Linked DNA regions of Arabidopsis thaliana. The protein of the gene in region 4 interacts with the protein of the main gene of each other region in a pairwise test. Each region holds a gene or a part of one and is shown on either strand. Other genes may lie near its edges. The genes, in order: NF-YB6, LEC1, NF-YB5 and NF-YC5.

The links.
Region 1: the proteins of NF-YC5 (region 4) and NF-YB6 interact in a two-hybrid assay, tested with the Arabidopsis thaliana proteins (one large-scale study listed by BioGRID).
Region 2: the proteins of NF-YC5 (region 4) and LEC1 interact in a two-hybrid assay, tested with the Arabidopsis thaliana proteins (one large-scale study listed by BioGRID).
Region 3: the proteins of NF-YC5 (region 4) and NF-YB5 interact in a two-hybrid assay, tested with the Arabidopsis thaliana proteins (one large-scale study listed by BioGRID).

What each region holds. Positions count from the first base shown.
Region 1 is NC_003076.8:19,312,162-19,316,895, reverse strand, and holds NF-YB6 (nuclear factor Y, subunit B6), read right to left. Parts: upstream 2,119-4,734; 5' UTR 1,836-2,118; coding exon 1,769-1,835; exon of another isoform or gene 1,559-1,768; coding exon 921-1,558; 3' UTR 727-920; downstream 1-726. Other genes in the region: TRM10 (tRNA (guanine(9)-N1)-methyltransferase-like protein), read left to right, coding at 1-211, 316-567; AT5G47660 (Homeodomain-like superfamily protein), read right to left, coding at 2,260-3,013, 3,446-3,888; NUDT2 (nudix hydrolase homolog 2), read left to right, coding at 4,671-4,734. UniProt on the Arabidopsis thaliana protein: Component of the NF-Y/HAP transcription factor complex. The NF-Y complex stimulates the transcription of various genes by recognizing and binding to a CCAAT motif in promoters. Plays a role in the regulation of the embryogenesis.
Region 2 is NC_003070.9:7,726,587-7,731,944, forward strand, and holds LEC1 (Histone superfamily protein), read right to left. Parts: upstream 3,064-5,358; 5' UTR 2,986-3,063; coding exon 2,934-2,985; intron 1,829-2,933; coding exon 1,164-1,828; 3' UTR 991-1,163; downstream 1-990. UniProt on the Arabidopsis thaliana protein: Component of the NF-Y/HAP transcription factor complex. The NF-Y complex stimulates the transcription of various genes by recognizing and binding to a CCAAT motif in promoters. Acts as a central regulator of the embryogenesis.
Region 3 is NC_003071.7:19,581,795-19,585,816, forward strand, and holds NF-YB5 (nuclear factor Y, subunit B5), read right to left. Parts: upstream 1,825-4,022; 5' UTR 1,627-1,824; coding exon 1,144-1,626; 3' UTR 864-1,143; downstream 1-863. UniProt on the Arabidopsis thaliana protein: Component of the NF-Y/HAP transcription factor complex. The NF-Y complex stimulates the transcription of various genes by recognizing and binding to a CCAAT motif in promoters.
Region 4 is NC_003076.8:20,559,934-20,564,008, forward strand, and holds NF-YC5 (nuclear factor Y, subunit C5), read right to left. Parts: upstream 1,296-4,075; 5' UTR 1,238-1,295; coding exon 677-1,237; 3' UTR 501-676; downstream 1-500. Other genes in the region: AT5G50500 (uncharacterized protein), read right to left, coding at 2,217-2,624. UniProt on the Arabidopsis thaliana protein: Stimulates the transcription of various genes by recognizing and binding to a CCAAT motif in promoters.

The DNA.
Region 1 (4,734 bases), 1.2 Mb from region 4:
AGCCATGGCTGATCAGAAAGATAATTTGGTGTATCTTACGGCTGATTCTGAAACTGTTTTGGATGATCTTGACCCTAAGCATATCTACATTATCGGTGGCTTAGTGGATCGAAACCGGTTCAAAGGGATCACCATGACCAAGGCTCAAGAACAAGGCATTAAAACAGCTAAGCTTCCCATAGGAGAGTATATGAAAATGTCAAGTTCTCAGGTAACTAAATGGCCACTTCAATTCTTGTCTCATTGGGCACAACACAAAAAACCTCTACTTTATGTACTTTGTTAATGTAAGATTTGTGGTTTTTATTGATTTAGGTTCTCACTGTGAACCAAGTTTTGGAGATACTCGTCAAGTTTCTGGAGACTAGGGACTGGAAAACAGCCTTCTTCACTGTGATTCCTCAGAGGAAAAGAACCGGACTTGATCCTGTTGATTGTTCGAAATTGGAACATATATCTGAAGAGCATCAGGAGAAAGATACTGAGGCAAACGAGAGTGCAGACAAACATGATCTTCTGGAGAGGAAAAAGGTATGCGTTGAAGTTCCTTTGGAAAGTAGTAGCTAAATGAAATGAATGAAGATTGTGAGAGTTGTTTCTGTATCCGTTAAACACTCATTTCTGTAGCTGAGAATTGAAATCTGGAATGTTTAGTCTCTTTCTATTTTGAACCAAGACGCATTACGAATTCACCGTGAATTTTGTAATATCACATGCATGCGGTTTGCAAAACTAATGCTTTATTGACATACTTTACCACAAGACAGATCAGATGAAAAACACAATGTTCTTTCAACTAGATAGATAATAAACAAAGAAAAAGCAGCATTGTTTTCGCTTAAACTTGAATTCATAAGCTACAGCTTGCACCTACTAACAGTTATGACTCTGTCAGCTGTCTATGTTATTAGCCATTGTTCTCAGTACTTATGTTGTTGAGTCGGAAATACTTCAACTCTGGCGCCACTTGCTCCTGAAGATGAACCACTCATCTTAGAATTAGGTTCGTTACCACTGAAAACAAACCCGTTCTGATGACGATAATGGTACTGCGCCATGTGAATCCCTGGCACAGGCCCGTAGGCTCCATACTCGGTCATGGTCCCATTAGGCCTCTTGACCACCAAGCCGTTGGTCATACTAACGGACCCAGCACTGCAGCTAACCCCTCTTTCACCTTCCAACTCTCTGTAGCGGTGGAGGTACAACGTGAGGGGTTCGATGTAGTCATCAAAACCGAGCTTGCTCATTGCCCACAAGACGTCCTCAGCAGTGATGGTCTTGCGCTGTTCCCGCTGGCACCGCTCATTAGCCTCCCCTGTTATGAAGCTGATGTACTCCGAAACACACTCTTGGATCGTCTCCTTGGAGTCATCTGAGATCTTGGCGTGAGCAGGTAAGATCCTCCGCATGATCCGTATCACGTTGGCAATAGGCATGAACCTGTCTTGCTCCCTCACCGTGCACTCCTCCTCACCACCATTACTGGTTTTGTTAGGCTGGTTGAATTCTGGAGGACGCATACTGCCCTCTGCCATCAGAAAATTCGCTGCTAATCCTAACAAAAATAAGAAAAATGGAAGTTTTAGTGCATAATGGCTTCGATGACGTCTGCATGCGCGGTTTATAAGATTGAAAAGCTATTTCATTAACTGTTCGTCATGAAAAGAGTACAGACATGACAATGGAGGGATTGCAGAGAATGGTTTCGCATGCAACTGAAATGAAGAGAGCCTGTGAAAAGAGGGGGTATAGAGAATGGCACTACCTGGTGGAGAAGGAGTGGTGTTGTTCACGGACAGCTTGCGGTAGCCATGGAAGCCTCCACGTTCCATATCTTTCTTGTTCTAAATACACGACTTTTGTGTTTGTGAATATCCCTATAAATAATAATAACCAATGCCCGAAATTAAGAAGCATTTGAAGAAGAGAATGGAATGAGAGAGAAGAAAGAGTAATTGGAATAAAGCTAATAGTGTTGGCAAGTGTCAGCATTTGTAATTTCAGACCTCACAAGTTCAACAACGTGGCAGCCATAATCGATGTGACCGAGGATCCTTCTCCTCGTCTCCCTTAGCCGTTACAAAATCCCAATCACCCCAACGTATTTGTCTTTTTTATTCGAACCTTCTACAAATACAGAGCCGTAGAGTTTTAAATTATAAACTACACCAAAGATATAAAAATTAAACTCGAGGTAATCATCTACAAGTTCTCCCGTTTTGCGTGCCAAAAACACCTAAATTTAAAATCTTTCACTCATTTTTCCCTCTCTCCCGAGGAAATGGTCTTGTAAAAATTTCCAAGTTTCTCAAAGTATGAGCGAGTCTTGCTGTGCTCAGGCTGTTTCTGCCCACCTTCCGTCACTCTCCTATAGTACTTGTTCATGTTCTCCCACTTCTCCTTACACTTTTTCGCAGATCTTTCGTACCCTCTTTCTTTCATTCTTGCTGATATCTCATCCCAAATCGCTCCCTTGTTGATCCCCGTCTTCTCTTCCACATCGCTTCTCGAACTTATCAATGCCTGCACTTCCTCTTGCGGCCACCTTCTACCACTGCTGCCACTGCCGCTTGAGTACCTAAACTTTATCTCTCTTTCTCTCTGAGCGGATTCACATTTCTCGTCTTTACATTGTTCCGGAAGAATCTGCTGGAGTGGTTGCGGGAATTCACACTGTTTAGGGATCTCGATCTCGTCACCAGTAACACTTCTGATGAAAGAGATGAGAGACAAGTTGCGTGCCATCTCTTGCTTCCGTGCTTCTTCATTCTGTGTCATCCTCTCGGTTTCCTGTTGCCTCCAAGCTTCCTCACGGCGTATTCTCTCCACTTCCATCTTCTCCATCACATTAATCAACTGATTATGCATCTTCTCCTGCCGCTTCATCATACTCCCCACAAGCTTCTCCAAGAAATGCTCCAGCTTTACCCTTGTTTCCCGCTTTCTTTTACCCGTGACGGTCTTGCGAACGTCTGGAGATGAGTCACTATCGCTGCTATCAACAGAGGAGCTGCAAAATCAAAAATTGGAAAGTACTTATCAAAAACTCAAAGCTTCCAACATGGTTACACTATCTAAGAACTAATAATCCAAAAGTTCCGCAGAATATATAGACAAACACTGCTTAGAAGTGGTATAAACCAACACTGTAAAAGCTTGTAATGACGGCACACCAATCTGATTGATATCTGCAAAGTTTAATGCTTTAAGCTGAGAGTGTTCAGTGATGCACCAGTCAACCAATCTAGAATCAAATGATACCGCAAAGCTCAAATATATCAAGAGGAAGAGAATGTGTTTAGGAGGTCTCTACCAAACAAGCTTCTAATAAACGTGAAAAAAAATTAGACTCTTAATAATACAGAAAAAAAGTAACAACTTTTCACAGTAACAGATCCAAAGTTGAACAAAAAGCTCACATTTTTAATGGTGAGATTTATACCTGAGAGAGAGACCATCCCAAGAGATGCGATTTCGAGCTTGAAACTCCATTTGAAGAGGAGGAAGAGAATCATCCTCTTCCTTTGAAAACCCACGAGTCAATTGACCACTTTCCTCCACGTCAGCAATCTTCGATCCCAAAGGAGCTTCGAAGCAGCCAAAACCCATCTCCGGCAGCCTATCTAGGGTTCCGGCGAGAATATCAAGAGGATGTCGATCCTCCGACGACGACGGAAGCTTAACGCCACACCTTATAGGTTTCAATTTCTGAGGAGGCGAAGCCAAGTCTGCGAGCGTAGCCAAAGCGTCGTCGTTTCCGTTAGAACCCATTTGACGGGTACCGTACATCCACCCGCAACCACCGTCCGAACCATCGAATGGGTTAATATCTTCCTCAAAGTCGTCGCCGACTCGTTTCCGACAGTCGCCGGCGAGAAGTTCCATTTCGGGAAAAGGTAAAAAAAATAAAATGGGCGGCGTGAAATCCAGAAGAGACTGCCCAAAGTAAAAGCAATTCAAAGGGTAAAAAACTCTATATTTACCTTTATACCCTCAAAGGAGTAACATAACCTCCATTTTATCCTCACTTCACTTCAGTCGTTTTCTTACCCGTCGTTATATGACCCGACCCGAGCCCACCTGAGCTGAATATGTTCTGTAATTTGTATCTACACCAGTTTTGTGTAAAGGCAAAAAACACTTTAGCCCCGTGTGGCTCAGCGAAAGCCGCGGAGATACCGACATATTTTATATCATAATCCATAATCCATATTAAGATTGGGAATCTGAGAAAAATTAGAAGAAAATCATTGGTAATTTCTCTATCAAGCGTAGGTGTCACAACACAAACAATCCAGAGAAACTATTCCACGTACGTATTAACCTTTGACCTTAACCTTCTTAAACAGAAAATATTGAAGTTTTTATGTTCTTGTGATAGAAATATACAGTAACAGAATATTTTCTTTGGCCTTTATTGACATATTTTAGAAGAAAAATAGATTACTTCCTTGTTTTATTATTATTTCACTCATCATACGTTGTAGAAAGGGAACCGCAAAGTGAAAAAACAGGTTTTGTATGCTCAAATCCTTCAAACGAGTGATCAATCTATTTAGCAATTTAAAAACTTTCAGATTTATATAGAATTTGTTTTGTCTGTTACTTATTTAGGACAAATCTTTAGTGTAAATTGAGTTGAGAGTTTTGTTTTTTCTTCTCTCGTAATGATGACTTGCCGTTTGGCCAAAAGTTATGGTTTAATCAAATTGTTGTTGTGTAATAAGAATA
Region 2 (5,358 bases), on a different chromosome or scaffold from region 4:
GAGATGAACTAATACTTGGTGGACAAACAAGTTAAGGGGATCAAAGAAGCTTAAGGTTTTCAATATTGGGCTACTTTTAGAGGTAGTGTTTTCAATACCGCATAACAAGCTTGCATTACGCCTGTTAATTTAATTTCTTTAGCTTAATGTGTTTATCCTAAAGTTTTAGATACTAAATTTAATTTAAGCATCTCTATTTTTTCTTTTAAACAGAGTTAACTACCAAAGTTTTCTTAAAAGAAAACATAGCCTAAAATGATAAAAGAAACTACATTTTAGTTTAATCCATTGGGCTAAAATATTTGTCACTTTTTTAGATTTTGAGTAATTTGGTAACTTGCTTTCATTTTTAGCCCTTGATTTTCTTAAGATTGTCGAAGTATCCTAAACATCAACACAAATTAAAGACTTAAAGGGACTTTTTTCATTCAGCCATAAAATTTCAAAAGAGTCTTTACATAGAATAGACCTTTAAGAACTTTAAAAAGCCAAACAATAACCGGAAATTAAACTTGGAACTAGAAGAAACAGAGCAAGCATATGGGTTTCAATCTAACCGAAAGATAACCACCCAATAACCGGAGATGAACTTGAACCAGTTACAGAAAACCATGGCTAAGGTCTTTAACTCTTAGTCTTAGTAATGATCCTTGAAGAAGTGTAGGCAGAAACAGAGAGCGACCAACGTTATGAATCCTTGGAAAAGACAGAGATGGAGAAACCAGAGAGCAACGAGTCAGGATCACCCTAATGAAACTCAAGCACCCAAAAGAAAGCAAACTCAAAGAGGATATAAATCTTCAGAAGTTTGACAACTCAACGAATTTAGATTTTATAATCCTTTGGCTTAGTTGTGTAAAACTCAAAAAAGTCAATTAAACTTGGTTCCTACAATGTTTAGTTATCATCTAACTATGACAGCTTTTGAATTACAAAACCTTTAGATCATGTAAATATATAATGTTGCATAGAGTTTAATCCACAAAACAGTTTGGGTTAAATCATTTGCATATATAAATCAGTTTCTCATAAAGTATTGAAATACAACACTTTTCCTTAAAGAAGCAACATTATATAGAAATGTTATTGATAAGACATAAAAATAAAATATCTATCCAAACACATGTTTTGAACAGATATAAAAATGAAGAATAATTCCATCTTCACTTATACTGACCATAATGGTCAAAAGCCGGCATTCCGTTAATGGAAGACGAAGAGCCACCACCAACACTGGATTCATCTTGACCCGACGACCCGTTTTGGTAGTACCGACCACCTCCCATAACCATGGATTGGTCCAACATACCATAACCATAAGGACCCGGAGGAGGTAGGCCATGAGATGGGCCGTGAAACCCAATACCATTTCCTCCATAGGTTTGTCTCAACGACGGTGGCTCACCTCTAAGTGCAGAACCACGATCGGTCTCTATCTCACGGTACCGGTTAATGAACACGGTGAGGGGGTCCACGTAGTTATCGAACCCAAGCTTGCTCATAGCCCAAAGGATATCTTCAGCAGTTATGGTCTTACGTTGCTCACGTTGGCAACGCTCGTTGGCTTCACCGGTCACGAAGCTGATGTACTCGGAGACACATTCTTGAATCGTTTCTTTGGCGTCGTCAGAGATTTTGGCGTGAGACGGTAAGGTTTTACGCATGATTCTTATGACGTTTGCGATTGGCATGTATTGGTCTTGCTCACGAGCCACACATGGTGGTTGCTGCTGGACCACGATACCATTGTTCTTGTCACCGGCGCCGGCTACTACGACTGAGCTGGTCATTGGGGTTGGGTTGTTGCTGTGCTGGTCCAAGTTCAATTCTGTTCATAGAAAATACAGAGAGAAATTGAAATCTTTAGGAAATAAAAAAGATTAGTTGAAGTAGAAATGATGATTAAATTTGTAGGATACGAATGGATTAGAAGAAAACAAGAGAATCAAGGGACACGTTCTTAGTTACGGACCAATAAGATAAGAGTAAGTTTGTGGGGTCTACATTCTAGACTTATGGACCCCGTTGAGTAGACTGTTCAGATTCTTGCCGTTACGTTTTACATGTATACCAAAAAGCTTTCGCTTAGATTATTAATTAGAAAAACCAAAAACTCAAAATTTGGAGAAGAACATCAATTAATTTATGTAGACGAAGGTATGACTCAATAAAGTAGACATTTATTTCATGTGAAGGTTCCCAATGGTAAATGTTGAAAGAATCAAAAGATTGGAGTTAATGACATCCAGTAATTAAAAAATCAATAGTAAAAGGAAAATTTGGAGAAAATTTCACTTAGTTTTTTTCCAAAAAAATTACTGATAGATTTTGAATAAAAAAACCTCACACTAAAACTTGGGACTAGTATAAGATATATATATATATATATATAGTTTAAATGTTAAGTACTAAAAAAATTTGAGTTTCTATTTTTTTAGTGTTTTTGAATCACATGAACCGTAGATGTTTTTAGACAAGGGAAGAGACAAACGAGAATCTCGTTTTGAAACGAAGAAAAAAACTCAACCGTTACAACAAAGAAAAAAACGTTTTTAGAATCGAAATTTTTTTTGATAAAAGAAAGAAAACGATACTCAAAAACATTCCTGGTACATGCACGGGTATATTCAATGAACACATACGAGAGATTTGTTTAACTAATACCACACCATGGAAATATTTGGATAAAACTTTGACTCAGCCATGATGAAACAATACATATCAAACTCTTGCATGTATGTATATAAAATCGTCTTCTCCGGGCCATTCCCAAAACCTTCACAAATCTAAATTAAAAATTTCTAGAAAGAAAGCATTTAGTTCGTTGTTGCAAAGTCTCATAAAATTCATAAAGCATGTCTCCAATTTTTCATGAGCATATAAATATACATGGAGGCAAGTATATACTGTATAAAAATAGCCACTTAGATTACCAGAGATGGATTTTGGTAGCTGATAGTGAGAGAAGGGAGCTCCACGTTCCATTGTTTCTCTGCCGTCTTTTTTTTTTTTTGTTCTTTATAAAATAATTATTTGAGTGATTTGTTGCATGCAAAGAGAGGTTGATGGTTGAGTGGTTTTATAGAGAGATGATACAAATGGCAAAGGAGGCGGTTCTTACGAGGTCTATATCTCTTTCCCATTGGCTTGTCTCATTGGCTATGTGGCCAGTCAAACTGCTCTTCTCTCATTGGTTGTTTTTTTTCACAAATTACCAAAGTAATTAAGTAAAAATAAAGACTATTAAGAAAGAAAGAAAGATAAGAAGAAGATTTTTATACATATGAGGCTCTCTTTGTTTATATAAATTAAATGTTGTTTAACATTTTCTATTTATTTAGTCAATAAAGTATTCGATTATCGAACGGCTGAGAAAGATTGACGTGACGTTATTTTAGTCATATATTTTATTAAAATTTAATAAAATATAGGTTTCACTAAATTCTTTGTTTCTTAATTAATGAAATTGAAAATTAGTTTTAAAAAGATTCTCTTACTTAAAATGGTAAATTTTGGTATATTTGAATAAATATGCGTTACGAAAGTGAGTTATCACGTTTATTGTAATTTTTATTTAAATTAGCCTTTTAAAGTGTTTATAGGAAAATTACAAAAGGTTAGTACAAGATATTGGTGTTAGATGATGCATGTTACAATTGAATATTGCTTTACATTTTCTAATACATAATTAATCAACAAATAAAATAAAACCAACACCCTAGTAATGGAATGGTGGATAAAGATTTTTGAAAGATGGAAAAACATGAAGAATTTTGGATAGAGTTTACGGCCCAGTCCATGACCTGTTTTGGATCTAGCCCATACTAAAAACAAACCAACGAGAATTAACAAAGAACCAATATTGAATCTTTCCTGGCCAATGACCTCTCATTTCAAAATGAAGTTTAGAACTAAAATAATCTTACGCATATAAGATTATTTTAGTTATCATCAGTATGAAATCTCATGGAACTCTGCTAAAAGTTTTTTTTTTCTTTAAATGTTTCCATTCACTTTGCTTCCCTTAAAGATAAACCATTTTGAACATACATCTTTAGCAGAATCTAGAGAGATTATAAATAAAGAGGCCACATGCAGGTGGAGCAAGAGCAAGGAAAGGATAGCTAAAGAGATAGGATAATACAACAACTCAGTTAGGAGGCGGTGAATTGGTAAAAGTTTCATTGCAATTATACGCTCAACTTTCAAATAATAAACTAGAAGATTTACTTATTCTGAGGTTAAGGAAATATGACTTCTGGTAAAGGAGAGTTTGGTGTTGTCTACCATGATTTTCAATATATTGAACAAGCAGCCCATAAAGTTATCTCTCATTGCAGAATTTTTTGTAAGCTTCTTCGCATACATCATGAGTAGCACCTTTGACCATCTTCAAACATTGGTTTGGAACGCAATGTTTTGATACAAACTTCTATCGTGCTTGAGTAAGATATATACTCGTTCTATATCTTTTACCATCTTTTCAAGTAGTTTTTTCTTTTTTCAAGTATACCAACTTCTTTTTTCATATATAGTATTCTGATTTCTGAGCAACCATTTCTAATTAATTGTAGCTCGTAAGCTCTTTATTAAATTTAACTAAAAATCTTAGTTATATCATTATAAATAACGCATCGCATGTAGATGAAAGTATATAAATAATAACTTGTACACATGCACGTTTGAACAATCCTTAGAACAACCAATATATTTTTATCTGCATTACAACTGGCAGAAAAAAAGATTATGATGCATCTAATTACTTAAATAACCAAACTATATATAATAAGAGATGGAACAGTTTGGTAGATCCGGCGTTGAAATGACAATCCCGTAGGCTTAATAGCTATATCATGGCCATATGTTACCTCAATGAGAAGAGAAGAAACATCGTTACGTGAATATCTGAGCTTCTCTCGTGTATCCTTGCTTATTTTTCGCAAATTTAATATGTTCACGCAACAAGCATCATAATTTACTTCTTAAATAGCAGACATAATGATTACCATTTGCATAAATCCTTATTTCTTCCAAACTAACAACCCTCATCGCAATGATAGTAGGATCAAACTATACGAGCTTAGTAGTACTCATGCAATATTTTGAACCAGTAAAACTTACCCTTTTGTGGACATGCCTATGAGAGAAGAGATAAACTAATAACGTGAAGACTTGATCAATATTCAAGCTAGCTAGATGGTAGAAAATAATGCAATCATTTTTTATTAGCAAACGTTTATATTTCTCTTCTCGTAAATAAATCTAAAGAAAAGTTACAAAAAGAAAATTTATAAAGTTGTCACGTTTAGTGAATGTTTCTACTTTCTACTCTCGTAGATATGTCCAAAGCAGGGTAAC
Region 3 (4,022 bases), on a different chromosome or scaffold from region 4:
CAACCAATACATAACATCTTTTGAGAAGGCGAAAATATTTGCTTGATATCAACAGCTGAAATGGTATTAACAAAAAAAAAAAAAAAAGAGTATAATGGTCAAATTGAAATTTGGAGTAAAAAGTATACGTTATTAGCGTGAGTCAGACATGTATAACTTTCTTTATGTGGAAGGTCCAGGGATCTTGTGTTAGTAAATAACATGTGAGAACTGATCTGGATTTATGGACCACTCGCTCTTAACTAATCAATTTAGCCCATTTTTATTTCTTAGTACTATATACTGTTTAGAAAGTGAATCACGTCGAAAATAGAATTAATCTATATCGACATAAGGTCTAAATATCAATTAGGCTTTAAAGAAAACAATATCGAAGTAGTAAATTTTATTTTTCTATATGATGTGTACGGAATAGCTAGCATTTTAGTGTGGATAAATGAATGCGAATAATCTATATGCAAATGCCATAATCTAAAAATATATCTAAATACTGAAAGTCGACTAAGTTTCGCTTTTTGTCGAAAGAAATCAATTGATTTAACTGAATAAGAATTCCACAAACTACGAAATTGCAAAGTTGATTTCTTATATATAGAGGGTTAAGTAGTCTAGATCAGAGGAAAGGGACATGGTAGTATATATCCTCACTGTCGAAATTAATCTACAAAGTTGATGATATATTAGTTCATCTTCATGATTGACGGTTTTAAAAGTTAGATGGTAAACAGTTAAAAACCGGTTTGGTTGGTTGTGGCAGGACTTGTGTTGTTGTATGATGCTCGATTTAATTTTATTTAATTATACCAGTCGAAAATTAATTAAATCTGAATAAATTGTTTAAAAAGCATTAATGAAGCAACCAAAAGAAAATCCCGAAAATGGTTCATAATATACACATCGATCGATCTCCACTCCAATATATGTAAATAAATAAAAATATAGAAAATAACAAAATCAGCTGGAAGAATTAACACAGATTTGTTCAGTACCTCACACCACATACATGTTATATCATCATATACATAAAATTTATTTATATATGTAGAACAATATATGAGAAGATAGAAAAAGATAGCTGGTCCTAAAGAGGAAGATGATGACATGGAGATTAATCAAGGAAAATCAAAAAGCGATGGAAGAATTTTAATTATCTGGCGAGGATTTAGGTCCTCCTTTGCCGTGATGATTAGGTTTCTCACCTTCGAGAACTCGGTAACGATGTAAGTACTTCTTGAGCTGGGCGGCGTAATCATCAAACCCTAGATTAGCCATAGCCCAACAGATATCGTCTCCATTAACGGTCTTTCGCTTCTCCTTGTGGCATTTATCGGATGCTTCTCCCGTGACGAAGCTAATGAACTCGGACACACATTCTTGCATAGTCTCTTTGGCTTCTTTAGAGACCTTTGCGTTTGCTGGGAGGATGTTCTTCATGATCCTTCCTACGTTTGCTATCGGAAGTAGCCTGTCTTGTTCTTTTACCATCATGCTTTCTTCTTGCTGTTGATCCTCCACCACCACCACTAACCCATCATGTTCATGTTGATGATTAGATGAGCTGCTCCCGAAGTTGTAATTCTGGTATCGAGGGATTGGATTTTGGAACGAATGATAATTCCCCGCCATCAGAATCTTATAATTAAAGCAGAGGATCTATAAATCTTGTTTGGTGAGGGGTTCGTTTCAGTATGATTCACAACAACGAATGATGATATAGAACGAAGATATGTAATTTGCCAAACTATATGGCACACAGAAAAAGGAGAGGTTTTAACATAAATGTGTTTATTATGTATACATCTAAAAAAATATTCGTTTTGACAGAGAGATTTGTGTAGTTAAATTAGCTTTATATATAAGTAGAAAGGCAAGAGAGCTAATTAAGGAGTATCTATCTATGTTTGTCTGGTCAGAGAATGGTGGTGACGTGTCATACAAACCAATGAGAGTGGTCTAGGTCACAGGGGAGACAATGTGGCAGGTCTAGCTAATTTCTCTCTCTCTCAATTTTCTTCTAATTATTTTCTCCTAAACCCTTTTGGTTGAGTTAAAACAATTAAAATGTAATCATAGAATAAGATGTGTTGCAAACAAAATAATGTTGAAATGTGTTAAGAATATATAACACATATATCATTCCTTTAGTAGTGAATTATCTCGCCTTTGGGAATGAATATGATATGATATCCTCAACGTACGTGAAGGCGAAAATAGTTTGGGGTTGATGACGTACTTGATGTTACCCTAAAAAGGAAGTTTTGGTCCTCCTGCTTAAGTCAATACCGTCTATCTGTGGATTGACTCCACACTCCAGTTAGTCTGGAAACTCTCCTCAACCAAAAATTATTCAATTATTCCACATTCCTCCTTAAGAGCTAGTCACTTTAATAAACGATAATATCGAACTCGTGGACCATATAAAAGCACGTCTTGTGGTCTATAATTAGTAGTCTGCTTGCCAAAATTGAAGAGGCTATAAATAATATTTGGTTGAATTATATTTTCAACTACTTATTAATAATGTTGTTTTAAAAAAAAAATCGTTTTTTAACTAAAATATTTTATATTTTCGAACTGAGGAAATACATAATTTTTTGTTTCACCACACTTTTGATATATATATTTTGTCAACACATTAGGTTTTTCTTATCCATCTAGAACTCAATCTCGATGATATAACCTACTTTAATCAAACTACCATTTAAATTCTATGAACTTTCAAATCAAAACTAGTTGGATTAATAATATATATATATATATATATATATATATTTCCTCTTATATGTGATTTTATGTTTTTACTTACTTTTTACCAGTATTTAATTATTAGACGAAATTTAGTTTATATCCGCAAAACAGTGATTTAGTTAGTTAACTAGCTATTTATATTTTAAACTTTAATTTATTTTGATTGGCTATACAGCATTATGTAAATTCTGCATTATATTGAGACGAAAACATTTACAAGCTTTGTCGCCTTACTATGGATGAGAATAATATGAGCTGTTTAGCAAAACATTCCCATTTATTATTTAAAGAAGTAATGTAAAGATAGATTTATAAATTACATAGAGGATTTTACAAGATTTTGGAGAGCATGGTGTTCTAGAAGTATGATATGTTGGCTATTATTTTATGTTATTTGTTTTCCCGAAAAACCTAAGTCATTAGTTAAATATTACAGCTACATATACATATATGTAAAATCATTAACAAAGTGAGGACAAGTGTCGACCGATGGTGGATCGGACCACCTTGAAACGGATAAACAAATGTTGAACGCCTTTAGATATTAATTAATTATTGAACGATGCATGATGACGTTCATAGCATTTCTATATTATAAACAGTAATTATTAGTATTACTTGCTCATTAACTTGGTTCTCTACCTCCTAATCAAAAGATGAAATTGACTCGTCATAAATGGTTTCAAACGGTTTAAGGTTGTAATAATGAAACTAGCTAGGTCATATGGTTGCATATGGAAGTTTATTTTTCGAATCCTACACCAAAAGTATGTTTAGTAGAAAAACTAATGATGCGCCTTACTTAGTTACTTAGATAAGAATTACTACTAATGAAAAACTGTGTGTATATAATATGTGTATTTGCTGGAATTTCAGGGAGAAAACATATAAAGCATTAATTAGTTGTTGAAACCATGAGAACGTGAATATACAAATCTATATAGTACAAAATTTAAGATATTAAATCCTAAAGTTGGTCGATAAAATAACACCTTTGTGAAATGTCCTCTCAAGTATGGCTTGATAGAAAAGGAAACGACTAGTGATTTTTTAAAGTTGTTATTAAGGAATATATTTTCGATTCTCCAATGTCTAATAAAATAAATTTAATTAAATTGAATTAAATCGCAAACGCATATATTTATTCATATCGTCGAATAAAAAAGCTGGTATATATAGTCATGCAATTATAGTAATCTAATTAACTAAGATCAGCATAAGCAATATATATATATATATATATATATATATATATATATATATATATATATATA
Region 4 (4,075 bases):
GAGAAATATATAGAAATGATAATTAGAAAAAACAAAAACAAAAATAATTCAATTAATAACTTCCTCATAAGAGTTCGCTAAAACCGCGCTAAAATTTCTTGAAAGACAAAATTCAAATAAATCGTTTGTGCGCCAAATTCCGTTGGAAAACAAAGAATAAGAACGAAAAATGAGTTGGAAAATTTTTAAAATAGATTCAGGTTTCAAAATAAGTTTTTTTTGCTAGATCTCTGGATCTTGTTGCCTCTAGAATGTAATCTAACAAAAAGCTGCAAACACAAAAGAGTCTTGACAAGTAAAAGTGATTAAAAAAAAAAGAAATAGCCGAATAAACATCCTTGTTTACAGTACCCTATCTCTTATGAAATAGATTATAATATATGATTCTTTTCTACTCTCATAAGGAATCACTAGAAGATTATGTTTCCATGGGTAAACTGAGGACTTTTTTATCCGTAATCCTTGTGTTTTTGTATGCATAAATTAATCTAAAGCCAATATTCATAAACCATTAGATTCATTTGAAAGACAACAACAGAAATACATTCTTTTTTTTTTTTGGACAAAACAACAGAAATACATTCAACAACTAAAAAACATAACATTGAAAACATAAGCAGAACTCAAAAAGAAATTCAAGTTCTCACAACAGCGGTTACAAAACCCAATCCAAATATTAATTCCCACCGTTTCCTCCATTTGCCCCAGTCGCATCCTCCTCGGTCCAAGCTCCAGGCATCTGCGGGTGTGGCGCGTGTATTCCTAAACCGTAACAAACCGGAGTTCCTATCACCGTTCCCGGCGGCAGTTCTTCATTGTTAAGATCTGGCACAGCCACATGATCAGCAACATCGTCCACAGGATCAGCAGCGGCGACAACGGGCTCTCCCTCGTCCTTAGGGACATCATCACGCAAGAAATCAAAGATGACGGTTTGAGACACTACGGCATCAACATCAGATTTCCGTATCGTGAGTCGGTTGCTCTCTTGAGCATGGAGCCATGAACGCATCGTGAGGTCCATGACAAACATTTCACAAGCCTTAGATAAGAGATTTGGAGCCTCAGCAGCGATCATACTCACATCCGGATCAAACTTCATTATCCTCTTGATACGAGAGATGGGGAACTCGTGATTCTTGACATTCAAGTCACCTTCCATCCCCTTTGACCAGAAACTCTTTAGTTGCTCGTTATCTTTCGGTGGCTGTTGGTGGTTGTTGTTGTTGTTCTCCATTTTTTTTTTGTTTGAAGTGTTTGGGTTTGAGATATTTTTATGTGGAGGTTTGCATATATAAAGGAAAATTAAGCGTATATAAGATATGGTAGGATAAGATTAAGAAGTGATCTCTTTACATATATGAATCTCAACCTATTTAGTAGTTTGTTAAGAATATTTAATGTTATTAACTGTATGTGTGTGACTGACAGACTTGTGGTTGGTATTATAAGAAGAAAAAAGAAAGAGATTTGTTTTTACTTAAAGTGTATATTATATACCAAATAATAGTCTTATAAAAATGAAACAAAAAAAAAAATACCTTTTTCTCTATAAAATTGAAAGTTAAAATTTTGCTGTACAAAACTTAGTTTTGAATATCTTGTTAAAAATGATGTTTTCAAATGTTAAATGTGAAAGCATAATTTGCTCAAAATTTTAAGAGAATTTTAATAAGAATTTGCTCATGATGTTAAATTGAATTTTACTTAATTTACATTGGTTCAAATTAATGTATGAAACGATATATAACAATAATATATGAATGTACAAAGTACAAATCCTGTAGTCCCTCTAAAAGTTAAATTTTGGTTATTTCTCTAATTATTTGATTTGTTAACATGAGGAGGTAGACACTCAAGAGAGAATCTCACATTTTGATGTTTAACTGCAAAATAAAAGAGAGATCATTAATAAATATGTTAGTAAATTTTGTCAAACAAAATATTAAATTTAAATAAAAAGTGACCAGTTTGGAGTTGGATTGTTCCAAAAAGTGAACAGTTTGGAGTTAAACAAGAGTAGCCGTTTTATTTTGGCGCCTCCTTCTTCAAGATATTACTGCATTACTCCTCCATAACCACATTATCAGTTTCATCACTCCTCAGTAGCACCAAAACTCTTGTGTGGAGAAGAGGAAACACACCTTTCAATACTCAGTTTGATTATACTCGTAGCCTTTCGAACCAATGCACTTCAAAGCCTATTTGGCGAAATCTCAAGTCTTATCACATCTATAGACTTGAGATTTTCCCAAATAGGCTTTGAAGTGCATTGGTTCGAAAACATAAATGGTGGAAAGAGATAGATGGTTTTTGCACAAAGTTCGATAAATATCAATCTTGAAATTCAAAAACCAAAGATATCGTTTCCCCTTAAGATCAGATCTCGAAGTCTTAGATAAGGAATCCATAAAACTTGTTAAAAGAGTACTACTCCTAAACAAACAACTCATGCAGGAAGCTTTGCGCGGGTGTTGGAACTTGTTTTTGATGAAGTGGTTGTGGCCACTTTTCCGGTGAAGACGTTCATCGGAATGACCGGTTTTTCGGCACAATAGAATCATTGTTGCAAGCACTACGCGGACCGTGGTGGTGCATTGGAATGTCAAAAATGAAGTTATCATTTGAATGAGAAATGAAGGTCCAAAATAGCTGCCTTGGTATATAATATACAGTAAGTAAGAGGAGAAATCCAAACATACATGGGTTGGGTTTGAGATTTGAGAGTTGGGAAATGGGCTTACAACCAATAAAAAATATCTACCTTAATGATAGAGTTTTGTAACAACAACAAAAAATCAGTTATGACAATTAAGGTCAGAAAACGTTTTTGACATTGTTGTGAGAATCAAAATCTCATAAATTTTCGTTAAGGTGAGATCACCTCATGAATATATATACGTTGAGCTTGGGCTATGTAAGTCAAGTCATTGTCTTCTCCTTCTCTTCATAAGATCACAAACATCAAAATTCCTCTCTTCTCTCTTCTTCTTTTGTTTGGGTCTGAGAGTGTAACACAAGACTAGTATTCGTTCGGCTTTTGATTTTGAGTGTTGCCAATGAAAAGAGATAACAATTTTCTCATGCGACTCTAATCGTCATTAAACCCTCGCACTACGAGGAGATGTTTGAGTTATAAAGGAGAGATCATCAAAGCTCTCGACTCTGTTAAGCACCGTCAATCTCCGTTCCTCAATCATCTTTTTGGTATTGTTGAATTTCATTACCTGTTCTATATTAGTTGCTTTAAGTATTAGGTAGTGTCTATGTTAAAATATTCGTCGTACAAAATCTAGTGGTGGGAATTAACAAAAAAAAATAAAAAATCTAGTTGTGGGTTTTATTTTTCTATTTTTGTTCAACCATTATCTATCTTCTAAAATAGTTATGGTCTACTCTCAAAGAACAAGGTTGCGTATAATGTAAACATGGTTTTTTTGATGACTAAATGTAACATTTATACAAAAAAAAATATTTGGAGAAATTGTTTCAGCATTGTTACAAAATTAGAACTTATATTGTTGCAATTTTAGGAATTTTAATTTTCCAATCAATTTGTCTATTTTGAAAGATCTTGTGGCACTATTTTGACGAAGATAAGATGGAAAAGGATGATCAATAGCGGAAAGAAAGAGCAAAAGGAAGAGCAAAATGGAAATGGATGACCTTCTGGATCATTTTCACCTCCTTTACCTATAAGCAACTGAAAAGCAACTTGATGTGAGAACCTGAATAGTTCTTTCCTTGGGTATGTCCTTAGATTTTGATGGCGACGGTGGTATGCATTGGTCCATAAGGTTGTCTCTCAAGAACCTTTCAAGTTGAGTATATATTGGCTTAGTGGTGAGAAAAATGGATATGTGGGTTTATTGAAGAAGTAGATTGATTCAGGGTATTACAGGATGAGTGGATGCTTCTCAATTGGGAAACATATAAGCAACGACTCTCTCAACTCGTTCTCACATAGAGTTGATGTGGACAATAGGTAACAAAGGATAATGCACATATATCCTAAAAAATGCAATATTTTGGCTCTTTATGCAAACTGGTCACTATCTTGGAATATTTCAACTTC